Rattus norvegicus: one gene and its partner. Each later gene encodes a partner of the first gene's protein in a complex. Links are inferred from orthologs where the notes say so. Each region holds a gene or a part of one and is shown in the gene's direction. Other genes may lie near its edges.

Region 1 (3,749 bases):
GCACGTCTTGTCATATCACAAATCTTACTTTTAGCCCCGAGGCAGGGTTTCTCTGTGCAGTCCTGGCTGTCCAAAAACTCTGTAGACCAGGTTGGCCTCATACTCACAGACAGCCACCTGCCTCTGCCTTCGGAGCGCTGGGAATAAAGGCACGCACCACAGCCAGGCAAACCTGACTGCCTTTGGCATTACGGATACTAAAATTCATTGGAAATCTTTCAGTAGAGAGATTATTTCGTAACGACTGGTTTTCACTATGGAGCTTGAAGTGGCTATGAATTTGCGATCCTCCTTCCTTTTTGGGATTATAGGAATGTGCTACTTCTCCAGGCGTTCAAAGAGCTAACTTTTTCTGTTGTACTTTGTGTTTTGTTTGTTTGTTGGTTTTTTTTTTTTTAAATTTTTTTTCTTTTTTTTTTCCGGAGCTGGGGACCGAACCCAGGGCCTTGCGCTTGCTAGGCAAGTGCTCTACCACTGAGCTAAATTCCCAACCCCTGTTTGTTTTTGATACAGAGTTTCTCTTTGTAGCAGTGGCTGTCCTGGAGCTCACTCTGTAGATCAGGCTGGCCTCGAACTCAGAGATCCACTGCCTACTGAGATAAAAGGCTTGCGCCACCAACGCTGCGCCAAAGAGCTAACGCTTCTAATTTACAAACGTGTATCTGACAAGATGCAAAGTTTCTAAGAGATGTCAACTCTTTCCACGGAAAGGTGTGAAGACTGAGCCAATCGGAGACAGTCCTGTTGGAAATCCCGCGGGAAGGGCGAATCAGCCAATTTCCGCGAGATTTTGGTGCTGTTCCTTCTTCCTCTGCCTGCAGGAACACGATTAATCTCGCGATCTTTGGGAAGTTCCGTTGGGGAAGATGGCGGCGGCCGCGAGCACCCTTCTCTTCTTGCCGCCGGGGACTTCAGACTGAACCTTCCCCGGAAGAGTGGGGGCCGCTGGTGCGCTGCTTCCCCGGAGTCCAGGCTAACTTGGTTCCCCTCTTAGTGGTGGGGAAAGGCTCCCTGGCTTGTGGCGGACCCAAGACCTCACCGCTGTCAGGATGAAGGCTCAGGGGGAAACCGAGGGTGAGTGACTAGGGGGTGGGGGGGAAGAAGGGGCGGGACACAACTGTGGGGAGCCAATCTGTGAGCGGAGGTGGGGACCCACGCCCCCCCCGTCCCCCCAGGGCCACTGTGCACGGAACTGGATCCAGGTGGATCCTGACCGAGCTTTACGGATGTTGGAGCTCCTACACTGAGGCTCCGCTCCGCCTCGCCTCCCCTTGTGAAAGATTTTCTGCAAGACTAGGGACAAGTAGATGAGCTTCAGGTTACTTTCAGCTTAGCCTGGTGGGTTACCAGGAGAGTGAAACTGAAACTTGATGCTTTGTTCCAGGAGAGATCGCTGAAGATGACACTAGAACAATGTGTCAAAGTGATGGAGGATGTTTTGGTGTGAGTGACATGGTGCGGTCTTTATTATAATAAAAGCTAGTAGTTTCTTGGAATGTCATAGTGTTCAAATACTGTGCTGTGTTTTTAAAAACTACTCTTTCAATTGTTCCTGAATAATGGCTTTAAAGCTCGGGGGAAATGTATTCAGAACTATGAACTAGCAGGAACAAAACCCAAACCACTTTCCCAGTTGAAGGAAGAAAAGGGAAGGGATTGAGTCTTTTTTGTTTTCTTTCAAGACAAGGTCTTCCTGCATCAGCCTCCCAAGTGCCAGCTTAACATACCATCATAGCCAGCTAAGAGTTTAAATCTTGGTTTAACTATCCCCCTCCTAACCTTAACTCAGATAGACTGGCTTATCCAAAATGAAGTCTCGACATTTTTAGGAAAGTGGACGATACTCAAAATAAGCTGTATTTAGCTAATACCACATTTTCTCTTATGCGGAATCTCAATTTAAGTATGTGTTGGCGTGGTGTACTGGTTGTCAAAATATGGGACCATGTGAGAAAGAAGGAGATCTTCAGGATAGAAAGGTAAATGGAGTTTGAACTAAATGGAAGCCTTGACTGTTTTGAGGTTGGGGCAGGGGTGGCTGTCAGAGGAAGAAGACTCAGACCCAGTGTAACATCTTACATCTATAAGAATGCCAAAATGATACCCATTGCTTTGTTTGTTAATTTAAAAATAATTTAGAGGCTGCAGATATTAGAGCAAGGTCGTTTGCCCACAGGTTCAATCCCCAGCACCAAAAGAAAAGGAAAAAAGGAGAAAGCAACAAAAATGAATGATGTCATTGTTTTCATACTAAAAACTAATTATAGAAATGCCTAGCTCAAATTGTGCTCAAAATATATCCTTCAAGGTATTGCATCCCTATGTATGCAATTACAAGTTTTTTGTTTGCTTCAGTGGATAGTTTGAACAGAAGCTGGGCATTGCATACCTGTAGTCTCACCACTGAGAAGGTAGAGGCAGGAGGGGCAGGACTTCCCGACTGCCCTTTCCTTCTCAGCAAGTTCAGGCTCATTTAGGCTAAGTAAGACCTTGTCCAGAAAAAAAAAAAAAAAAAAAGGCTGCCAGTCAGTTGGTAAAATGCTTCCTGTGCATACATGAAAACAGGCCTGAATTTGGTCCCCAAGTGGTGATGATTCATGCCTTTAATCCTAGTACTTAGTAGGCAGAGGCAGGGGGATCCCTCAGTTTGAAGCCAGGCAGGTCTACAAAGAGACAGGACAGTCAGAGAAGCTCTGTCTTAACCCCAACCCCCCAAAATAAATAAAAAAGAAGGCGTCTGGGGGCTGGAGAGATGGCTCAGTGGTTAAGAACACTGTCTGTTCTTCCAGAGGTCCTGAGTTCAAATCCCAGCAACCACATGGTGGCTCACAACCATTTATAATGATATCTAGTGCCCTCTTCTGGCCTGCAGGCATACATGTAGGTAGAATGCTGTATACATAATAAAAAGTCTTAAAAAAAAAAGGCGTCTGTTTATAGTGGCATACAGCCATAGGAGGCTAAAGAAAAGGAGACAAGAGATGACTGAGGAGAGTCTGGGCTGTAATGCAAGCCCGGGTAGAGGGACAAGCATGTGGAGGCCACCCCTTATATTTCTGTATTTGGAGGTGGTCTACTGTAGCTACTGTGGGCTCTGGGGCGTGAACCCAGGCTCTCATGTTTGGCATGGGATGCCTCTACTCAGGGAGCCACCTTGTCAGCCTCCAAGGTCATGCTCAGCTAGATGGACTTGGGGGTCAGCGGGGTGGCGAGAGAATGTCTGAAATGAAGGAAAAGCAGGGAGGGGCTGGAGACAGAGCTGGGGAGTTTTTGGCATGGGTTTAGATTTGGCTCCCAGGAAGCACATGCCCACAGGGCAGCTCACAACCATTTGTAGCTTTAGTTTCAGGAGTCTTGGTGCCTTCTAGCCTCCCTGCACAGACGTGTTATACATGCATGAGTCAAAAAACAAACAAAAAACCAAACACACACAACATAAATCTTTTTTTCTTTAAAGAATATGGGTTTCATGTGTGTAGTGGTTTTGTCTTCCTGTATTTCTGTGTACCAAGTATATACCTGGTGCCCTCAGAGTCCAGAAGAGGACAGCAGATTCCCTGGGACTGGATTTACATGTGGCCGTGAGCTGCCATGTGGGTGATGGGACTTGAACCCAGATCCTCTGAAAGAGTAGCTAGTGCTCTTAAAGGATGCGTTAGGCATTGTCAAACAGTACTTTGATGCCATACTTAAGAGGCAGAGGCAGGTGGATCTATTTGTTCAAAGCCACCCTTTTTAGACCCCGTCTA
Region 2 (3,649 bases), on another chromosome or scaffold:
GATCTTGTAGGCAGAGATAATGACGGAATCCACACAACTACCTGAGAAGGGAACACTGGAGTCAGCATCAGCTGTACACGTGCCTGCCGCTCGGCCTTTAGGCCTTACACTTTCTAGTCAGGAGACCGAGAGTGAAGTCTCTGCTGTCGCTTTAATGCTCTGTGGATTTGGGTTACAGTTAACCATTTCTCTATCTGACTTGTTCTGCTTGCCGGTATGGAATCTGTTTCTCATTGTTATACCCAAGAAAACGGCTAATATTCTCAGAGAGACGGGTGGGCTTCTGTAGCAGAGGCAAGCCTGTAGGAGAGGTGGCTGAGTCCATCAATCAGGACTGGGTAGGAATCCATAGTGCTTTTTGAAACAGGTCTAGAGTTCATAGAGTACAAATCTTCCCATTCCTCAGAGGTAACTGCTGTTTCTGTTTGGTGCACAGTCCATGTAGAGCCTCTTCCTTTGTGGTCACAGAGGATGTGGACTGTTTGGTTAGCCGCTTGGATGTTGCTGGAACGAAAAGCTCTCCCCTTGGTTTACTGTTCCTCACTGTGACATTCAGAAGAGCTCTGCATTTGCCGTCGGCCAGTAATGGAGATTACTGAGCATTATCATGCTGGCCTTAGATTTATGGTAGCTGACCTCGCCGAGTGGGTGCCTTGGTTCTTTAGTTAGACATATATGTGTAACAGTTTTGGTGTACATGAAGGTGTTTGGGAGGATAGATGGCTGAGATGAGCCTGATAGTTAAGTGTGGTGTGTGACTGTGACGTGTGCTCTTCTAAGCTTGTGTTTAATGGTCTGTCCTGTTCTGTTTTCTCAACTCAGGCGCTATCTCCTCTGAAGAAATCATTAAGTACGCACACAGGATCAGTGCCAGCAATGCTGTATGTGCTCCACTGACTTGGGTTCCAGGTAACAGTGCTTCTTTTCAGATGAATGCAGGTTAAGCGTCCTGAGGTGCATCTGTAGCATTCTAAGTGCCTGTGTAGAACACAGAAGGATACTGTAACTAATTCCTGTTACATTGTTTTTACCAAGCAGTGATGGGAAGTGTTTTTTCCATTTTACTTTTAGTGCTAATAGGTCAATCTGGGACACTTTCAAAGCAATAGGTTCATATACTTGTAACACCCAGGCTGGCCAGAGCCAGTCCTTCAGTGCCATTATATTCCTGCAAAGCCTCAGCCTGAGAGGCAGTCACAGAACAAACACCCAGCGCAGTTCACCAGCCGGGAAGAGCGGGAGCATTAGGGACAGCAAAGATAATACAGTGCAGTCCCAGCACTGCAGATCAAGTAGGAGATGGGAAACCAGAGCTGGAGCAGCGGCCTCCGTGGAGGATGGAGAGAGCCAACTGGGCTCTGCTCACTCCTGACCGGTGTTTGTTGTTGCTGAACACAATGACGGTGGCTGCAGTCTGAGGATGGGTAATTCCTGGTGAGAAATATTACCAAATTTGGGTGTGGGTGCCATCCCAAACTGCTATTCAGTGTCCCTCTTTGATGGGAATGACAGTAGGTTCTTGTGATAAAACTGGAGAGGTGTAGAAACTAGTCTGTGTATGTTTCTTTGTGACAGGTTTATGTCTCCTAGTCTGGTTCTATCTTATGTATTTGAAGGTGACCTTGAGCTGTCCCACCTCCACCTTGAGTTGCCTCTGTGCAGTCCTATTTCTACTTCCAAATGCTGGGCTACGGGTGTGATTATAGGCGATGTGCCCACCACCCCTACTTTTTTTACCACCCCCATGTTTTTTACAAAACATAGAATGTATATTCCTGGGAGGATTCAGAGAAGAAACAAAAATGTGTGCATTTTGAAAATTAATATTGGGAGCTAGAGAGATGGCTCAGTCATAAAGAGCACTAGCTGCTCTTGCAGAGAACCTGGTTCAATCCCAAGTTCACACATGGCAGTTCACTTGTCTGTAACTCCAGTTCCCCCGGACTTCTGACACCCTCACACAGACATGCATGAGGCAAAACACCAATGCACATAAAAGAAAAATAAATGATTTTAAAAAATTAATATAATATAGTCTCTTTCTCCTCCAGCCCCCTTTCTTTTATTCATTGAGAGACAGTTTCTCTGTGTAGCCCTCCCCGTCCTGGAACTCACTTTGTAGACCAGGTCAAGTCAGAGTCCTGCCTCGCTCTGCCTCCTGAGACCTGGGACTAAAGTTGTGTGCCGCCGTACCCAGCTTGAGAATAGTAATGGTAACCTCAGGCAAGGTGTGGTAGCACATAGCGTAGGCAGCTGTGAAGAGGCCGGGGCAGGCCTGCAGCCTTGAGGCTAGCATGACTACCTGCTGAGACCTGTCTTACAAGCGCTCCGGTCCTTTAGTGTGAACAAGGACAGCTAATTCTTCAAGAATATATACATGATTTTAAACCTGAGTTAAAAGCTGTCTTTATTGTTTTAGGAGACCCTCGACGGCCATACCCAACTGATTTAGAGATGAGAAGTGGATTGCTGGGTCAGATGAACAATCCTTCTACCAGTGGTGTGAATGGTCACCTCCCGGGAGATGCCCTTGCAGCAGGTAGACTGCCAGGTAATGCTAACTGGATAGGCGTTTTCAAGCGACAGGGTTATTCAGAGGTGGCCGTGAGGCAGTGTCTAGCATTGGGCACCAATATTGTTACATAGATTCCCTACCAGTTTATTGTTCTGTGCTTCATCCAAAGACCCAGCAGTGGTGCATAGGTCACTGACCTAAGCCACTCTGTCCCTCACGTGCATCTATCTCCTATCACCCTCCCCAGGCCTGGCCTTCCCTTATCGTGACCACTCTGAAGAGCATTTTTGCAGTTCTGAGGCATGCTCACAAATAGAATAAGCTCATTTTGTAGGTGCCATGTTTAATGTGAGAGAATCTTTCTAAGGAGAGGACATAAGTGGGGGACTGTGCTTTCTGAAGCTATCACTTCTGTGTTAACATGTGGGTTTGGGAATCTGCTCATTTGTGTTTAGTATTGCGAATCCTTCTTGTTAGATCTTGGTACTGTAAGGTAAGTGGGTAGGTAGATAAGATTAAGATTCTTGCATAGAGGGCGGGGATCGAGTAGATGGATCACAAGTAGAACCAATCCCTTATGCTTCTTCTCCTCAGATGTCCTTGCTCCACAGTACCCATGGCAGTCAAATGACATGTCTGTGAACATGCTGCCGCCAAATCATAGCACTGACTTTCTGTTGGAGCCTCCCGGGCACAACAAAGAAAATGAAGATGACGTTGAGGTTATGTCAACAGATTCCTCAAGCAGCAGCAGTGACTCTGACTGAGAAAGGGGTGGCATGCAGACTCCACTGCCACAGAGTTCTGTCAAGTGGGAAATGGAAAGCACAGACCTCTAAGGAGCCCAGGAAAGTCAGTGGTCTTTCTTCCTGTAGCCAGAACTGCTGGTTCTCATCTGTTACACACGTGTTTGAGGGTTTGTCACAATTACTGTTGTGCTTGGTTTGTACATAGCAGCTATGGGATGAGACTGAAGGAGAACTGCACAACTCATGGAGAGTACTTACCAAGGGCACTGAGCCAGGCTCCTGCCTTAGTCCCAGCGCCTGGGAGGCTGAAGGATTGCTGGGAGTGTCGGGCCGCCTTGAGCTATGTAATAAACTGAGCCATCAGGGTAGCAGAACAAGAACAGAG

The links. Proteins that work in one complex are often made in the same cells at the same time.
Region 2: Med1 (region 1) and Med4 share a complex: the UniProt entries of both Homo sapiens proteins name them as parts of the mediator complex. The link is inferred for Rattus norvegicus from reciprocal best matches to the Homo sapiens genes MED1 and MED4.

What each region holds. Positions count from the first base shown.
Region 1 is NC_086028.1:83,682,646-83,686,394, reverse strand, and holds the start of Med1 (mediator of RNA polymerase II transcription subunit 1), read left to right. Parts: upstream 1-849; 5' UTR 850-1,049; coding exon 1,050-1,074; intron 1,075-1,904; exon of another isoform or gene 1,905-1,979; intron 1,980-3,749. UniProt on the Homo sapiens protein: Component of the Mediator complex, a coactivator involved in the regulated transcription of nearly all RNA polymerase II-dependent genes.
Region 2 is NC_086033.1:55,112,575-55,116,223, forward strand, and holds part of Med4 (mediator of RNA polymerase II transcription subunit 4), read left to right. Parts: intron 1-822; coding exon 823-909; intron 910-2,419; coding exon 2,420-2,551; intron 2,552-3,109; coding exon 3,110-3,282; 3' UTR 3,283-3,649. UniProt on the Homo sapiens protein: Component of the Mediator complex, a coactivator involved in the regulated transcription of nearly all RNA polymerase II-dependent genes.